Alligator mississippiensis: one gene and its partner. The protein of the gene in region 1 interacts with the protein of each later gene in a pairwise test. Links are inferred from orthologs where the notes say so. Each region holds a gene or a part of one and is shown in the gene's direction. Other genes may lie near its edges.

Evidence for each region. The genes of interacting proteins can lie anywhere in the genome.
Region 2: the proteins of KHDRBS2 (region 1) and CIRBP interact in binary tests that used the Homo sapiens proteins (3 or more experiments, as listed by UniProt). The two-hybrid records come from large-scale screens. The link is inferred for Alligator mississippiensis from reciprocal best matches to the Homo sapiens genes KHDRBS2 and CIRBP.

The regions. Positions count from the first base shown.
Region 1 is NC_081824.1:53,082,531-53,090,615, reverse strand, and holds the start of KHDRBS2 (KH domain-containing, RNA-binding, signal transduction-associated protein 2), read left to right. Parts: upstream 1-5,074; 5' UTR 5,075-5,217; coding exon 5,218-5,308; intron 5,309-8,085. UniProt on the Homo sapiens protein: RNA-binding protein that plays a role in the regulation of alternative splicing and influences mRNA splice site selection and exon inclusion. Binds both poly(A) and poly(U) homopolymers. Phosphorylation by PTK6 inhibits its RNA-binding ability.
Region 2 is NC_081839.1:2,680,973-2,689,161, reverse strand, and holds the start of CIRBP (cold-inducible RNA-binding protein), read left to right. Parts: upstream 1-5,038; 5' UTR 5,039-5,121; intron 5,122-6,423; 5' UTR 6,424-6,429; coding exon 6,430-6,532; intron 6,533-6,629; coding exon 6,630-6,736; intron 6,737-7,127; coding exon 7,128-7,242; coding exon of another isoform or gene 7,243-7,266; intron 7,267-7,353; coding exon 7,354-7,438; intron 7,439-7,595; coding exon 7,596-7,666; intron 7,667-8,094; coding exon 8,095-8,111; 3' UTR 8,112-8,189. UniProt on the Homo sapiens protein: Cold-inducible mRNA binding protein that plays a protective role in the genotoxic stress response by stabilizing transcripts of genes involved in cell survival. Acts as a translational activator.

The DNA.
Region 1 (8,085 bases):
ATGAGGTGGGGCCAGCTCCCTGCTGCCATGTGCACAACTGAGGGGCAGAGGGGACCCACTCCCCCCAGATCTGTACGTGGGATGGGAGTTGGGGCGGGCTGATCACAGTGGGCTTGGCTTTCCACCGTGCTGCCCCCCCCGGGGCCCCTGTATCCCAGTGTGTGTGACCCAGCATGGCAGGGAACAGCCGAGCTGCGTAGGGATCTCCTTGCTGCTACAAGATCCACGCTACCTTGGCAATGCATCCTCCATGTGCAGGGGCAACAGGGGAAGCCGTGTGTGGTTGTGCTACTCACTGCAGTCCCACACATGGAGGACATGTCACCAGGACAGGGGAGACCTGCACCCCCAGATCTGTGTGGGGTGGGCGTGGGTGTGCACTGCCTGCTGCAGACTTAGGTTTCTGCCCTTCTGCCCTCCCCGGGGCCTCTGCAGCCCAGTGGGTGCAACCCAGCGCCGCTGGGGCAGTGGAGCCACACAAGAAAGCTGCTTGCCGCTGCTTGCTCCGTACTGCCCTGTCGATGCATCCCCTGCACATAGGGCTGCAGTGAGCAGCACACACCCATGCCACTTCCCTCACTTCACATGGAGGATGCATCGCCAAGACAGCACAGAGCTCACAGTGGCAAATAACTTTCCTGCACAGCTCTGCTGTTCCTGCAGCTCTGGGTCGCACATGCTAGTCTGAGGAGGCCCCAGGGGATGGCAGCAGGGTGGGTGCCCAAGCCCACGGTGGGCATCTCACTCCTACCCCCACACAGATCTGGGGAGTGCAGGTCCCCACTGCGTCCTGAGAGCACACGCAGCAGTGGGGAGCCAGCTCTTCTGCCTGAGCCTGCAGCAGGCAGTAGTAGAGGGGAGTAACTCTGTTGCAGCGGCCATATATATATATATATATATATATATATATATATATATATATAATATAATATATATTAACATGTGCCAGTAAGTTTAGAAATATTTATGAAATTACACACTGATAGTGCCCTTTACGTTCAAAGTTATTACAACAGGACACAATACTGAGTTCAGAGGTAGATGCACTAAGATTCACCTGTCATAATCAGGGTTTTTTTGGAGCTGTGCTACTTGCCAAATGTAAGAACTATGTCTTTTTATATTTGGCTGTACCCATCAAAAGGCTTGCTCTCATATAGTTTCTTGAAATCAAAAAGCAAGCAACAAGTCCTTAAGAATAAATTATTAAAAATTAATAACACTTAGTGTCGCTAAAGATACAGGAAGTCATGAACTATGCATGTCTCTGGTGGCTGTGGGGGGATGGCAGCAGGATCACGGCAGCGGTAAGTGGGGGAGGGTGGCAAGCGCCAACCAGGGGTTGGAGACTGCCCGTAGACGCTGCCAGCAGCTTCTGCAGTGTCCAGCGGGGATCACAGCCTGCCCACAGATGCCGCCAGCAGTGGCAGTGGCAAGGTGCCAAGCAGTGACCACCTGCAGGCACTGCTGACTGTGTTGGCTGTGCCTTTTTGTAGGGGGTGCACCACCACATGCACCCCCTATGCGTTGACCCTGCAGGAAGGTAGAGAGAAAGTTTTTACTGCTTAAATAGTTTTGGGTGTTTTTTTGGTGTGTTTGTTTTACATTTTGTCACTTTTAATGACTACTTATAAAATTTTCACCCAGGAGAGTATTCCTTTAACATGACCTTATAATTTGGCTCAATCATTCAAATAAAACATTTGTAAAAGGTGTCTTCAGTTTTTAGTGGGCATAACAAACATCCCATTTACAGCTTGCAAAGAAGTCATCCATCACATCACCAAAGGTCTGTATTTCATATTTGACCAATAAATACAGTTATCAAAAGCATTTGTAACTTATCAGCCAAAGTATCATTTTAATTCAATGTGGCTTGAGCTCTAGAATTTGAAAATGAGACCCTTGAAAAAATTGTCATGGGTCACTTTGATGTAAAGAGCAATAAAAGATGTCACTTTCTGTATTCTCTACACTGACAAAATTGATTAACTGGATAAAGCCCACTCTAATGCATAAGAGGATATAGCATATAATGTTAGAAACATTTAAATATATAGCTTTACTGTAATATTCAAAATAAAAATAAAGTGTATCTGGCCAAGGCCTTCCAATAAACTGGTAAAACTGAGTAACCGACAAGTATGCAAGTCTGCTGCAGATCGCTTCCAGTAAAACTAACTTTTCAAAGGAGGCTGACCCACAGATGAGCCTTTCAGTGTGACCTGAATGCTAAAAGACCTAAGCCATGTTCTCATGTTGGCTTCTGTGGTACCCTGGGGTGCCTTGAGCTCCTTTCAGAGGTGTTGCAGAATACTACATAGTTGACAGTATTAGGTGTGCAAATATAATTCACAAGAGAAACTTAGAGTTTCCATACAGCAATTTAGTGATAAAAAATTCTGAGCTGTTGTGGCCTTTCTGAGTTCTTTGCAACAGAAGAATTGCTCTTTTACTTCATTGTTGTCAAAAAATGAGTGAAAACCAAGAGCTGGCATTTTCTTGGGTGTGCCTTGAGCCTTTCAAAAAGTCAGCCTAAGAGGGCTGAGAACCACTGAGAAGCTCTATTTCTGAAAGTGGGAAACTGAAGTTACTGCTGACAGCCCCTTGCAAGACATTTCCACCAGCCCCCTCTTTTTGGTTTAAGAAAGGAGGCACCATTTGGAGCGGTTCTGATGATTGTTCCTGTATGTGAGAAACATGAGAAGAGAGGTGCTGTTTCAGGCAGGAAGCTTCCCAGCTACCTACAGCTTTATAGCTGTAACGTGGTGTTCCTTCAGGAAGCACTCACCATGAAATGCCATCTTCCTCCAGGCTAAATAAAGACTACTCATGTGGGTAAATATCAGTAGGAGAGGCATTCACTGTCTGGCTGTATGCTAGTTTATTATTTAAAAGAGGAAAACTCATTTTTCCCTCCCTCTTACTTGTTCCAATCTGAAATAAAAATGACTGATTGCTGATGAGATTGGCCACCTCTGTTAGCACGGTCCTATTATCCACCAACAAGCTGTTCAAATTAAACATCTCTCCACTCCCCTCCCCTCCCCTCCCCTCCCCCCCTTTCTGTCTCTGCAGAAAACTTTGCTCTCCAATAATTTCACTTATTTTTCCTCGAGAAGGATTCTAAAACACTACTAGCCCATTTCCCAGTGTGGCATTTTCTATCTGTTCTTGTCAACATGTGTAACCCCTCAATTATAGGACACACTGAGGGGGAAATGGAATGAAAGCTGCTGTGAATCTTTCTGGCTGGGTTTGATAGCATCACAGATCCAGCTTCTCTGTCACTGCAGCTGTAATTTCTTCAGAGCCCGCTCAACCCAGAGCCACGGCCAGAGCTGGGTGCTTGCTGCCTCCCTCTTCATCTCTCTCACAAGCCAAGGCTACAAGAGCTGCTGCACAGGCAGCCCCGGGCCATTCGAGGTAGAGAATGGGGATAAATATTTCATTTCATGTGATCATCAGGATCAATATGTTAATAAGACAAACCAGAGTCCTAGACTAGAACAGGAGCTCAGGGAACATGCTCTACTGAGGGTGCTCTCTTGAGCAATGAAGTTTCTTAACCCGTCCAGAAGAACATATTTATATTCCAACTATGGCTATATTTATATTTAAATATATTTAAAGATGAACTATGGATTGGGCATCTAATTTATTGATTCAATTGATTGATTATTTTATTATGAATGTATTCCATGTTGTCATATAGCATGATACATATTTAATATATTATATCAATGTAATAAATATATCAAGTATTATATAATTTATGTATAGATGTATATGTGTGTATTATATAAAGTATAATAAATATATATATCTATTACAGAATGTATGATATATATGTATATCTGTGTGTTTATTACAGAAAATATCATAAATATATACTCTACTATAGAATTTATGATATATGTGTATACCTGTGTGTTTATATATTTTATATAATAAATTAATCTACTATATAATTTATGATACATGTTTATATGCATGTTTAATTTATTATATAAACTATAATATATAATCTACCATGTAATGTGTGATTTATGTATATATGTATATACCTGTGCATGTAACTTATTATATAAAACATAATAAATAATCTACCATATAATTTATGATATATGTGTATATATGTATATCTGTGTTTATTATATAAAATATAATAACTATATAATCGAGTATAGAATTTATTATATATATGACTGCATCTGTGTGTGTATATATTTATATATTATATACATATTTTACGTACATCGTATTTTATATCTATCTATCTATCTATCTTACATCTACATATATAATATGATAGATAGATATACTACTTGATGTGTATATGATATATACATATATCATATATAAATGTCTCGGGGAATGCTTTGTTTAGTCTTAAAGGACGGTATTAACGAGTGTGTTAATACTCGTGTGTGTGCGCGCGCGGGGGGGTGACTCCCTGACAGCGATGGGAGACGGTGGCTGGAAGCGAAGCTCTTGGCCCCGCTGAGGGCAGGTCGTGCCCGAAGCCGGCCGGGGCGCTCCTCAGAGCCGGGCGAGGAGGGAGCCCGAGACCCCTCCGCCTCGGCGGCTCCGTGCAGCGGCGCAAGTTCAGCTCGAGCAGAAAGCTCGGGGCGCTGCGACGGGCCCTGGGCAGCCTCGTGCAGCGCGGCGGAGCGGCCCTGGGCTCCCGCGCTGTGCGGGGAGCGCCGCCGCCGCCTCCGGCCCAGCTCAGTCCTTTCCCGCCGCTTCAGCACCCTGGACAGCAGCAGCTGCCTCCCCCGCCCCGCCCCGCCCCGCCCCGCCCAGCCTGCCCGCGGCGCGCCCTGCCACTCCGCCGTCCAGGCAGGGGCCGCAGCCAATGGCGTGGCAGAGGCGCCCGGCGGGGCTCCGCCTTCCAGAGCGCACTGCCCAATGAGCGGGGAGAAGGGGCGGGGCGGGCATCTTGCTCCCGCCTCACTAGTTAAGGCCGGCGCTATGAGAGCAGCGCGGCGCGGAGGGGGCGAGCGCGGCAGAGCCGGAGGGGCCCGCGCCGGTAGTCGCGCAGACGGGTGGGGACGGGGCGGCGGGGGCGGCCGGCGGTGCATGGGGCAGTGAGGGGCCCGGGCCCGCGCGCTCCCTGCCGAGGGGACTCCGCGCCCGGCACCAGCCTCCGCCCGCGGAGCAGCCCCCGGAGCCCGGTCCGAAGTGCGGCGCGGCGGCGGCGGCAGCGGCGGGGCTATGGAGCAGGAGAAATATCTGCCCGAGCTGATGGCAGAGAAAGACAGCCTGGATCCGTCCTTTGTTCACGCCATGCGCCTCCTGGCTGAAGGTAAGCCCGGCCAAGCCTCTGCCCGCCCCGGTGGCATCCGGGCAGCCCTGCCCTTGGCTTCCCTGGAGGGAGAGAGCTGGGCAGAGGTGGCGGTGGGGGGGGGGACTGGTGGCATCGCCAGCAGGAGCGGGTGCCGCCAAGTGCAGTGTCCCCACGCAGCCCCACTTCGCAAGTGGGCAAAGGTGTTTGCGGGCTTCTTGTTACTGTCGTTACTGTCATCGTCATCATCACGAGGAGAGCAGAAAAGCAGCAGAAAAGCACTGGAACAGGCGACCAAGAGAGGTGGTGGAGTCTCCATCCTTAAGACCCGGCTAGACAAAGCCTTGGCTGGGATGATCTAGTAGGGGACGGTTCTGCTTTGAGCAGGGGGTTGGACTAGATGCCTTCCTGAGGTTCCTCCCAACCCTCATTCTCTATGATTCGGTTCCCGCTCCTTTAAGTGAATCCACCTCAGCCCCTTGCCCATCAGCGTCCCTGTGGATGCAAGCTGTAGCTTGGATTTCCACTGCATTTCTCAAGCACAGGGGTACCAGCGAGTCACTCACCGCTGTCTGTAGAGATACTGAAACGGGGGTAGGGAGGCAGCTAGATGCATATTTTTAACCCTGGATGAGGACACGCTGTGGACGATGTCATGCTCTCTCTAGTAGAAGCTCCACTTGCCAATGACGAGCAAGCCATTGCTTTTGCGGAGTACAAGCTACATTTTGTCTGTCTCTCCTAGGAAAGTAGAGAGCATTCATTATAAAGATAGCCTTCCTCTCTTACTCACTGATACTTTCTGAAGCTTGCTTACAAATAGGTTCTGCTGGCAGAGTACTGAGGATCTTATTTATAGAACCAAACATCCAGCTTAAAAGCTAAATCTATTATATATATATATATATATATATATATGTATGTATGTATGTATGTATGTTTATTTTATTTGTATTATGGAAAGTGGTTGTCTTCATGGCTTTTTCATTAAGGGCAAATTGTTTCATTGAATAAATGAGCCGTTACAGTCGGGTAGGTTCTGGGGGTAGGGCTTCCATGGCTCCTGATTTTATTTACACAAAGGCAGATGTTAGTTTCCCATTATACTCATTCTGTCTTGGTTTCTGTCTTGAGGTACTAGGGCTTATTGATAGCAACTAAATTCAGTATTATGTTTATTCTGCAGCATTGTTTTCCATTGGCTTTATTATTTCATGTATTCACCGGATATGGTTTATCAGTTTCATGACATAATTTCATTAAGGACTTGCTGCATTTCTTTTAGGTGGGTACTGTGACCTAAAGAACGGTATAGATAACATTTTGTTCTCATTATAACAATCAGTGTGTGTAATGTAGCTGCATTTCACGCACTTGAGTTAGCTATATTATGGAACTGGGAAGACTTTAAAAACTTTATCATTTGCTCCTTTTTTACAAGTCACATACCTATTGATTTATGTCCTACCTTAATGTACAGCACTTTAAATATTTAGAAATACAATGAATTAAACTCTCCTTGTACTTTCTTTTCCTCATGCATATAGTTGCTTTATTTAAAATACAGTCAAACTGGAATGCAAATATAAAGGAGAACTAGTGACAATGAAGCGTAAATCAAGATGTTCTAACTGGCCCAGAAATGAAGCTGAGATTAAAAATCAGACAAAACAAACAAACAAACTTTAATGATCCCCTTTAAAACATTAAAAATGTAATTATCCTAAAAACCTAGGAATAATTTCCAAAGGTCAATTATGTCTGTAAGCTATATAAAAGCATTTAAAAATTGTAATGTTAGCATTAAGAGCTTCCTCTAGGTCAGCAGTCTTCATATTGTCTTTCTTAGATTTATGATTTATTGATTATTCTCAAAGTTACTGAGTCTAGGTTTCATAGAGTGCTTCTGTTTGATAGCTGAAAATCCAGAATGAATAATGACACATTTAATATACTTGGCTATCTTGCTGCTGAGATAACTACAGTACTTTTTTTATAGATGTTATACTAATGTGAATATGATAAACCTTTTATTTCTTATTTCTCAAAGGGGCATTCTTGCACCTTGCATTTTGGTATTTTCCCAGCAGGGGGAGATATGTACTGAGAGAGAGCACGTGAGAGAAAACACATGAAAGAAAGAATTGAAAGTACAAAGTATAGTGAAACAAAGAAAAAATATGAGGTGTTTATTTCTGGGTTTTCAATATGTGCCAAATCTGTATTTCAGAAAACTAGTAGGACTGAGTAAATTTACTCTGTTTTGGTTTCTTCTCTGTGTTGCTTGATCTAAGTGCACCTGAATGTTTAAAACGATGAAGGTGTGTTGTCTGTGGGAGCTGTAGAGAATGCTAATGTTGGATTCACACCAGATACCTGGCATTATCCTTCAAAACACCATCTGTCAAGCTTTCTAGAGATGCATTTTACATTTTTATGTATGATGGCTGTTGAAACAGTTTCATTCAAGAGAGCAACTAGTTAAAGCAACAGGAACAGTGATACTTGTTACTTTAGTGTAAATGTCAGTGATGAAGACTTTCCCCTTGGTAGGGAAGCATGTATGACAGGCATAATTTTTTCTGGAGGTCTTTTGGATACACCGGATAACAGCCAAAAGGGAACAGTAAGAGGGGAAAAAGACAGTCCTCTATAACATTGAGTTTCCATCTGTTTTTTATCTGTTTTTTGAAGCCAGGGTTTCCAAATCTGTTTTTTTTTTTTTTTTCTCTCTCTCTCTGAAAAACAATATATGAAGATCTTCATATTTAGTGATATCGGACAACTATTCTCTTTAT
Region 2 (8,189 bases), on another chromosome or scaffold:
GGGGAAAATGGGCTGTATTCTTATTCACGTGTTTCTCACGTACTACCCAGTCAAGGTGCATTTCTGCACTTTTCTTAGTCTCCCATCCCAAGAGTGAGCCCACATGCTATATTTGCAGGGGGAGAGATGTTAAAGGTAGGCATGTTTAATTCATACGGCTGAGAGATGCCGTGATTTAAAGTGTAGAGAAAACCCGTATCAGCAGACTATGTTTTCCACCTCTCTACAGCCGTGAAAACTTCCGGCTGTCCAAAGCTTGAATCCGAACACCGAGTACAGACAGCCCTTAAGTGAGGATGCGGCATGGGCTAATGGAAGAAGTAATGATCTGCTGAGCGAGACATGGCCACGTGCTTCTATCCTCCGTAAAATAGGCATGAATGATGCGTGGTATCTTCGTATGGAAGTACCCCCATGTAAAAAGGCAAATACTTCTAAAGGAGAGAGACCTTGAGGAAAGCTACAGTGCTGCAGGAATCGGGGCCTATGAGTAAATCGTTCATGCTCTTCCTTATAACAAGGAGCCCCTGGCTTCAGTGGGCGCTGGGGTAGTCACGAGATTTGGGGAGCTGTGGTCCATGGCAGGGGACGAAGGTGAGGAAATAAAGATCATCCCAGCACGCCTTTATGACCTCTCCCACCGTGGTGTTAAGGACCGATGTGCTATCAGGGATGACTTTTTAGGTGCAAATGCAATCGCGGTGTTATCAGGGGATTTATTATCAGGGGTGTATCATCTCAGGTGCTGTGCAACCACATAGGAAGATACGGTCTCTGCTTTGAAGCGCTGATAGGCTATGAAGACTGTTTCTATTCATGACAGATCCAGTGGCTCTTCCACTGCATTAGGTTTGTTGTGGCTGCAGTGATTTCTCATTGGGCAATCGAATGGTAATTAGAGTTTATCTCAGCCGGGGAAGGTAAATATCCTCCAAGCCCTAAAATGTTTGGTAGTTTGATTTAACAGAGTGCCCACCGCAGACAGATGCACCGCAGCGCTGGTAAAGTTAATTTTGCACTATGTATTTGCCATTTAGTTTGTCAGCTATTTTGTGATCTGGGGCTGAAAACTGCTGTGTAAATGTCAGCCGCTATTATAGAAATATTAACTAATTACATATAAATGGTGCATACGTTACTTTTCAGCAGGTAGTTAATTCCCTGACAATATAGGAAGTTTGCGGGGCTGGCAAATGTTTGAGATGCTCTCCCGGCGCCGCTGTCAGCTCTAATGTCACAGAGATCTATCAATGTCTTGTGATGCAGCCCTGACATGTATTAAGAGATCTTCCTGAAACGAATAGCTCCAGGTGCCAATTGTGTGAAACAAGAACTCATTGCAGCGCCAAGGAGGTGAAGGCTCGGAGCATATGACTGCTGCAAAAGACTTGTTTACAAGCTCAGGAGACATATGCTATTACTAATGCCCTGGATCAGCTAGATGGGAATCAGAGGATGTAGAGCAAATGAAGCCTCTTGGGAATGCAAGAACGGGGGCAAGGCAAGGATGGGGCCTGGAAAGATGCGGTCTGGCTGATCTGGTTTTAGCAGCGTGACCCTGAAACCGTCCTTATTCGCATGTCAGAGAGAGCAGAATCAGGTCCTTCATTTTGGGGGGTTCGATGCAGATCCTACTGCAGCCCCCCTTGCACTGGCGTTGAAAGGAGAGGAGGAATCAATCACATGGCAAGGTGTGGATGTCCAGCTATGCTCACGGAGCGAGGTCTTTCCTGCCCTAGAGCAGGGGACTGGACCCGGCAAGGTCCCTTCCAGCATCTATGAATCTGTGTAAACTGAGGATCTACCCCTTGCAACCGGAGACGGAGCAAATATGGGAAGGCCGGGCACTGAGCTGTAGTTGTAAAGTAAACATCAGGCACGTCAGAGGAATCGAATCCGGGTCAGTTTTCTACTGGGAGCAACAGTAACGCAAAAAAAAGTTGTTTTAAAATAAATAATAAAATTGCTTCTTCCTTTTCATACCGCCCCTGTCCCTGGCCAGAGATGGCTCTCGGGCTCTGCACTCCCAGCCAGTGACTTGTTCTTTATCCCCGCTGCTAAAATGGCTCCACACTTCAAGGTCACTTTATCTGGCCTCATTGTGAACCAGAAATGCTTATGTTAATGCCTCTCTAATTTAATCAAAGCAGGGCTGCTAGGGATTCAGGCTCAGGGCTGCGTGGCTGGCTTGGGATTTTTTTCCCCCTTCTCTTCCTCCTTCAAGGACAAAAATTGATCTTCAGATCCAAGCAAGCTCTGGATATCCCTGTCCTTTTTTTTTAAAAACCCATGGACCATGAAACCTGCTGCAGTATCAGGGGGGATTAAAAATAACCCACGATGCGTCCACGTTTGCAACTGAGAGTTGATATCACCGTTCAAAACATATACCTGGCATTTAAAATCAGCAGCAAGCAAGTGGACTGCGTTTGCAGCAGTGCACCATGTCGTGCTGCCCTTTAACAGTAGCTTGCCGTTTGAAATCACTGAGTGAAGACCTTTTATTGTATAGTCTTTTGTTTTATTGCAAAGCTTCCCAGATACACTGAAGCCCCAACAGCATGTGTATAAAATGTGTTATTTTGATGACATGCCCTTGCTAATTTGCACCCAAGACGGGGGGGGGGGGGGGGGGGGGGGGGGAATGAATGAGGTCTGCAAATGAAGCAGCAAGCAAACATGCACAATAATGAGCAGGCATCATCCCACATTTGTTATTCGTTTATTAAGAGAACTGCTTCAGCGGTAATTATTTTATAGACTGCTTTACTGTCAAAGAGGGGTGACTGTTGTTTTTGCTGTGCATTTGTCGGGATACATGATCCCTTGGCACCCACCGTACGAGAGCTGCAGACTGGTTTCTACAGGGAAGTTTTGCCAAGAAGAAGTGAAACCACCATGTTTGCATGTTTGGTTTGGGGAAGAAAGTTTCTCCAGCGTTTTGTTTTATCGTCCCTACGTGGAGAAGCCGCTCGCGACCGTGTAAGACGGAGCAAGTTTGCAGCGAGGAATTCCCCCCCCCACCCCCCCGGTTTTGGGGGGTTTTTTTGCTCGCAGCTCACACGTGCACAATGTCAAATCAAGGCAGAAAAGACCAATTTCCCTCCCGTGACGAGTACAGAAAACGAACGCTCGTTATTTTAGATAACAGCTGTGGGCAGACGACTTATTTGAATATGGCTACGGTTCCTTTTGCTGCTTTTGTTTCAGTACCCTTTAGGAAGCCAGCTCTGACATTTGAGAGTAAACACGTCGGAAGTGCATAGGGAAGCCCTCGGTTGTTTTTCTCCTCTCCAGTTTTGACCCCTAACGGCTGTTGAGGGTGGAGGAGGAAGAGAGACAGAGAGAGTGATCTGAACTGCGAAGGAAACGAGGTTGAGGTTTCTTTCGCATCGCGAGCCTCATCCGAAGAAGGCGCCGTCTCCCCCTCGGCGGCGACACGGCTTCGCGCGGCGCGGCTGCGTTTTGAGCGGAGGACGCCGCCGTAAGAGAGAGCGCAACATCAAGCGATTCGTTATTTCGTGCGTTATACATGTGCATTCCCACGGGGGATATGTGTGTGCCTGCGTGTGTGTGTGTGTGTGTAGGACAGCTGGTTTCCACAATTTGCATACGGGAATTTTTCCCATGCAAACCTCCTCCTCTCAGCAAGGAAGTGGGGCGTTGAAAACCCGGCGGAGAAAACCCGCTCGGAAGCCAGGACGGCATCGCTGTGCACTGCGGAGGGGGAGGGGGGGCGTCCGCCTGCCCAGCCTCGCACATGCGTGTGTAAGGGCCGCGGTGTGGAGCTACCGCCGCACAAGTCGCTGGACGGGACCGGCTCGTAACGCTCGGACCAGGCCCGTCCCCGCGACGTGCACCGGCGTTACAGGCGGAGCAACGCCGCCATGACACGGCACCGCGTTGTAAATCAGCTCCTCCCGCCGGGCCCACGTGCGGGGCAGGCCTGCTTCACAGGCATCCCGAGCGGCCGTTCCCCTCCCGACCCGCCGCCTCCCTCCTCGCTCCTTGTCGCGGGTTCGAAGGCCGCGAGCGTTGCCGTCCACGGGCTCCATCTTGCCCAGGCTCACGGGTGCGAGAGAGCGAATTGGGCCCTGACGCCCCTCGGCAACTCTTCCCTGCCACGGCGAACCGTAGGGTGGCCATCATGGAGGACAGCCCAGGTGTCTTCCGTCCTCAATCGATACGAAACCGGACGCCTTTATTTTTAAAAATAGAGGACGTTTCCGTATCGAGCGAGGACGGAGCGGCAGAAAACCGGGACGTCCTCCCCGACGGCCACCTGAAGGGGCGCCGTGGGGGGGATCGGACCCATGAGGACAGTCGCATTTTGGGGGAGACTCCGGGCAGCGAGGCCTGAGGCACGTCTTGCGTGGTGTGGGAAATACACCTGGGAACAGGATGGGTCTCTTCGGAGGGAGGACGGGGCAGCTGAGGAGACGGAGGGGAGACGTGGCGCCGTGAGGAGACTGAGGGGAGTGGTGGCCGCGAGAAGACGGCACAGGGAGAAGCGTGGTGGGCGCGTGAAGTGATTCGCGTGAGGGGCCATAGCAGCGAGGTGGGGACGGTGCTTGGGGACACGTCCAGGGGGGTTGTGTGGGGCTGCGAAGGGGGGGAACGGCCCTCGGGAAGAAGCTGCCTGGATCCAAGATGGCGCCCGCCCCCTCAACCGCCCCTTTGTCTGCAGCAGTGGCGGGAGCCGCATTGCCGAGGAGGCGCGAAACTAGGGCACCGCGGCCCCGCCCCCTTTCCCGCCTCGGGGGACTGCGGCGCGGGCCGGAGCCAATTGGAACTCAGCACTCTCTTCTCCCCCCTTCTCCTCTGCCAACGGCACCCCGCCCTCCTCCCTCTCCGCCCAATCAGTGCTTCCCGGCCGCGCTCCGCCCCCACGTGGGGTGGGCACGGATTTTTGATGAATATTAATGTGACACTGCCCAATCAGGGCAGCGGGGCGAGGAGGAGGGGCGTGCCGCTGCCTCGCAACCGAGCCGGGTCTCGTTTGCATATTTATGAGAGAGGCGGGGTCGGAGGGGACATATATAAACAGCGTCTCCGTCCGCCTCGGCGTACTTCGCGCTGGGGTTTGGAGGTGCTGAGTGGTTCGCGTCCCCGCCGATACAGGTAGGGGGAGGGGAGACGGGGGTGGCGAGGTGAGGTTGGAGGGGAGGGGAGGCAGGCAGGCAAGCAAGCAAGCAAGCAAGCAAGCAAGCAAGCTAGCTGCATCGTGCGAGCTACTGGTTTCCTCTGTGAGGGCCCTTCGGCCTGGGCCCTGCCCTCAGTTTCCCCTTCCCCGTGGCGGTGGGTAGGCCGCGCAGGGCCAGCCGCGCTGTCCCAACCGTCGGTGGGGGTGGGGGGGAGGTTTGTTCTAGAAACAAAATGGCGGCTGCACTCGCTTGGCGCAAAATGGCGGCGGGGACACGCGGGCCGCAGTGCGCATGCGCCAAGTGGGCGGGGCCAGGAGGGCGGTGCCATGACTTGGCTGCGTGCAACGCGCATGCGCGGGGGAGGCGGCGCTGTGCACGCGCACAACAAAGGCTTGCTCTGCCTGTGGCTTGGGATCCTGATTGGGTCCCGGGGCCCTGGTCTATAGGTGGGACAAGCGCTGCGAAGGGAAGCCTGGGGTGGTCTGTTGCCTTGTATTAGATTTGGAGCCTGAACAGCATGGGATGAATTCAGGAACTGCTTGGACTGCTGAGGCATGAGGATCTCTGGGATCCCTGCCTCTATCAGAAGGGTGCTTGGGTAGTGTGCAGGTCTCATAAGCAGGGATTCTGGCTTTCTCTGATGTAAAAAAACCCCCCAAAACCCCACCCCAATTTCAGATTAAAAAAAAAACCCAATTTTTTCCACAATTAGATTTATAGCAGCACTTCCTTTTGTCTATATTTTAGTGCTGCTTTGTTCTAATTGCAGAAAAATGTGGATTTGGGGTTCCTCTTCTAAATCTGAAAGCTGGGGATTTGTTTTAATCGGAGAAAATGGGCATCCCTGGTTATAATGCCTTGTTTGATCAGCCCTGGGTGGCTTTTAAACTTTTTTTTAAAGAAAAAACCGGTTATAGAAATCCTAATATTTGTTTTGTAAATGGGCAGTGTCATCCTACCAAGTGCATAACACTTGTAAATGAAGCTTGTGGATAGATTTGTATTTCAGCTTTAGTTTTTTGAGTGGAGGTAACAGCTTGATGCTGGACTGGCAGCTGGGGTCGTGGTAGAGGTAGCTTTAGACTGAAGTCGGGCAGAAGTTGTGCCTTCTAGATCATCTGCACTGGAGACTTATTTAATAGGCTTCCTTGAGCCTGTGTTCACTCTCCGAGCTAATCTCTCCCCTGGGGGGTGGGGGGCATGTAGGCCCCGCCCCAACCAAACTTGTAATTTGCTTCAGAGATGGACTGATGCACTTCTTTTTTTTTCCCCTCTGCAGATCAAAATGGCATCAGATGAGGGAAAGCTTTTTGTTGGTGGACTGAGTTTTGACACCAATGAACAGTCATTGGAACAAGTATTTTCCAAATACGGACAGATATCTGAAGGTAAGATTAAAACTGTAAAACTGCAGACTGAGAACTTTAATTTTTCTGTGGTATATAATGGGTTTGTGCAATGTAATTTTTTCCCCCCCTTTTTCAGTTGTGGTGGTGAAAGACAGAGAAACCCAAAGATCAAGAGGCTTTGGGTTTGTCACCTTTGAGAACATAGATGACGCTAAAGATGCGATGATGGCTATGAATGGAAAGGTAAATAGATTTGTGTCCTTTTTCCCTGATGTGGGGTGGGGGCAGATTTGGGGAGGCCTGTGTCCATTTTCCTGCTTTTTAAAGCTATTAACCATTTTGTATTTAAATGGTCCTGTAAGATGTGAATTTGGAATTAAAAGTTAGATTGAAGAACTAAATATTTACTGCAGGTGTGAAAACAAATGTGCAAGTTGTAGATGAATCCTGCTTGCTTTCTAAAAGTGTCTTGGCTTTCTTTAATTTGATGGCGGTTGGTTGGTTGGTTGGTTGGTTGGTTACTTCATGTGAAAGAGCCATCTATTGATAAAAATGATAGATTATTTAGCACTTGATGCCTTCAAAGTGTGTTGCAGGACATTGAAGTACTGATTTGGGGTTTTTCTATTTTCAGTCTGTTGATGGGCGCCAGATCAGAGTGGACCAGGCCGGTAAATCATCAGAAAACAGATCTCGAGGATACAGAGGGGGTTCAGCTGGAGGCAGAGGCTTTTTCCGTGGAGGCAGAGGTCGGGGCCGTGGTTTTTCTAGGGGTGAGTCAGTATTGCTGACTTGCAGCAACTGACTTTGTTAAGTGCCGAATTCAAGGTACTAATACTGCTCTTTGTATGTTTTCAAAGGAGGTGGAGACAGAGGCTATGGTGGAAGCAGATTTGACTCCAGAAGTGGGGGATACAGTGGCTCCAGAGATTATTACAGCAGCAGGTAAGTGCATGTGGAAGGCCAACAACTGTCCTAAGCACATGTGAAATAATTAACCTCAGAGGGGATGTAAATTTACTCCAGACAGAAACAGCACAATAGCTTTAATATGCAGGAGTTCAGGTGACTTTTAAAAAACAGGTGCTTGTTTTTCAATCAGCAGGAGTCAAGGTGGTGGATATGGTGACAGATCTTCAGGAGGCTCCTATAGAGACAGCTATGACAGTTATGGTAAGTCTTAGTTCAAAAGGGAATGGAAAGTACATTGCTGTAGGAACTCGACCTCTTGACCTCATATTGAAGTCTGGAAATACTGTAAGCCTCAGGTCGGAGCATATCACCTGTTTTTGTTCTTGCCCATAAGAACCAGTCTATTTGTCAGGCCTTGGATGTGGTTGTGCCATTTTAAATTCCTAATCGTAATGCATGTGTAGGACTTGCTAGGATCTAAGGCAAAGCAAGTATTAAATGCTCACCTTCCTCAAACTGGAGAAAACGGCAAAACCAATGCCCTAACAAGCATTATCACGGGTGGGGGAAATTCTCTTTTTAAAACCTAATGAAGTAGCACTAGCCTCTGAAATAATACAAGGGAGTGAAATGCTGGAACTTGTCTATGCTTCAGTGCCTTTACAATTGTGCCTGCTTCTTGTCCTCAGCTACACACAACGAGTAAAAATCCTTCCTGACTCAAGATCGTCCTTCCAATGGCTGTATTTATAAAGATTTTTGGAGCTTCGCTGAAATCGTTATT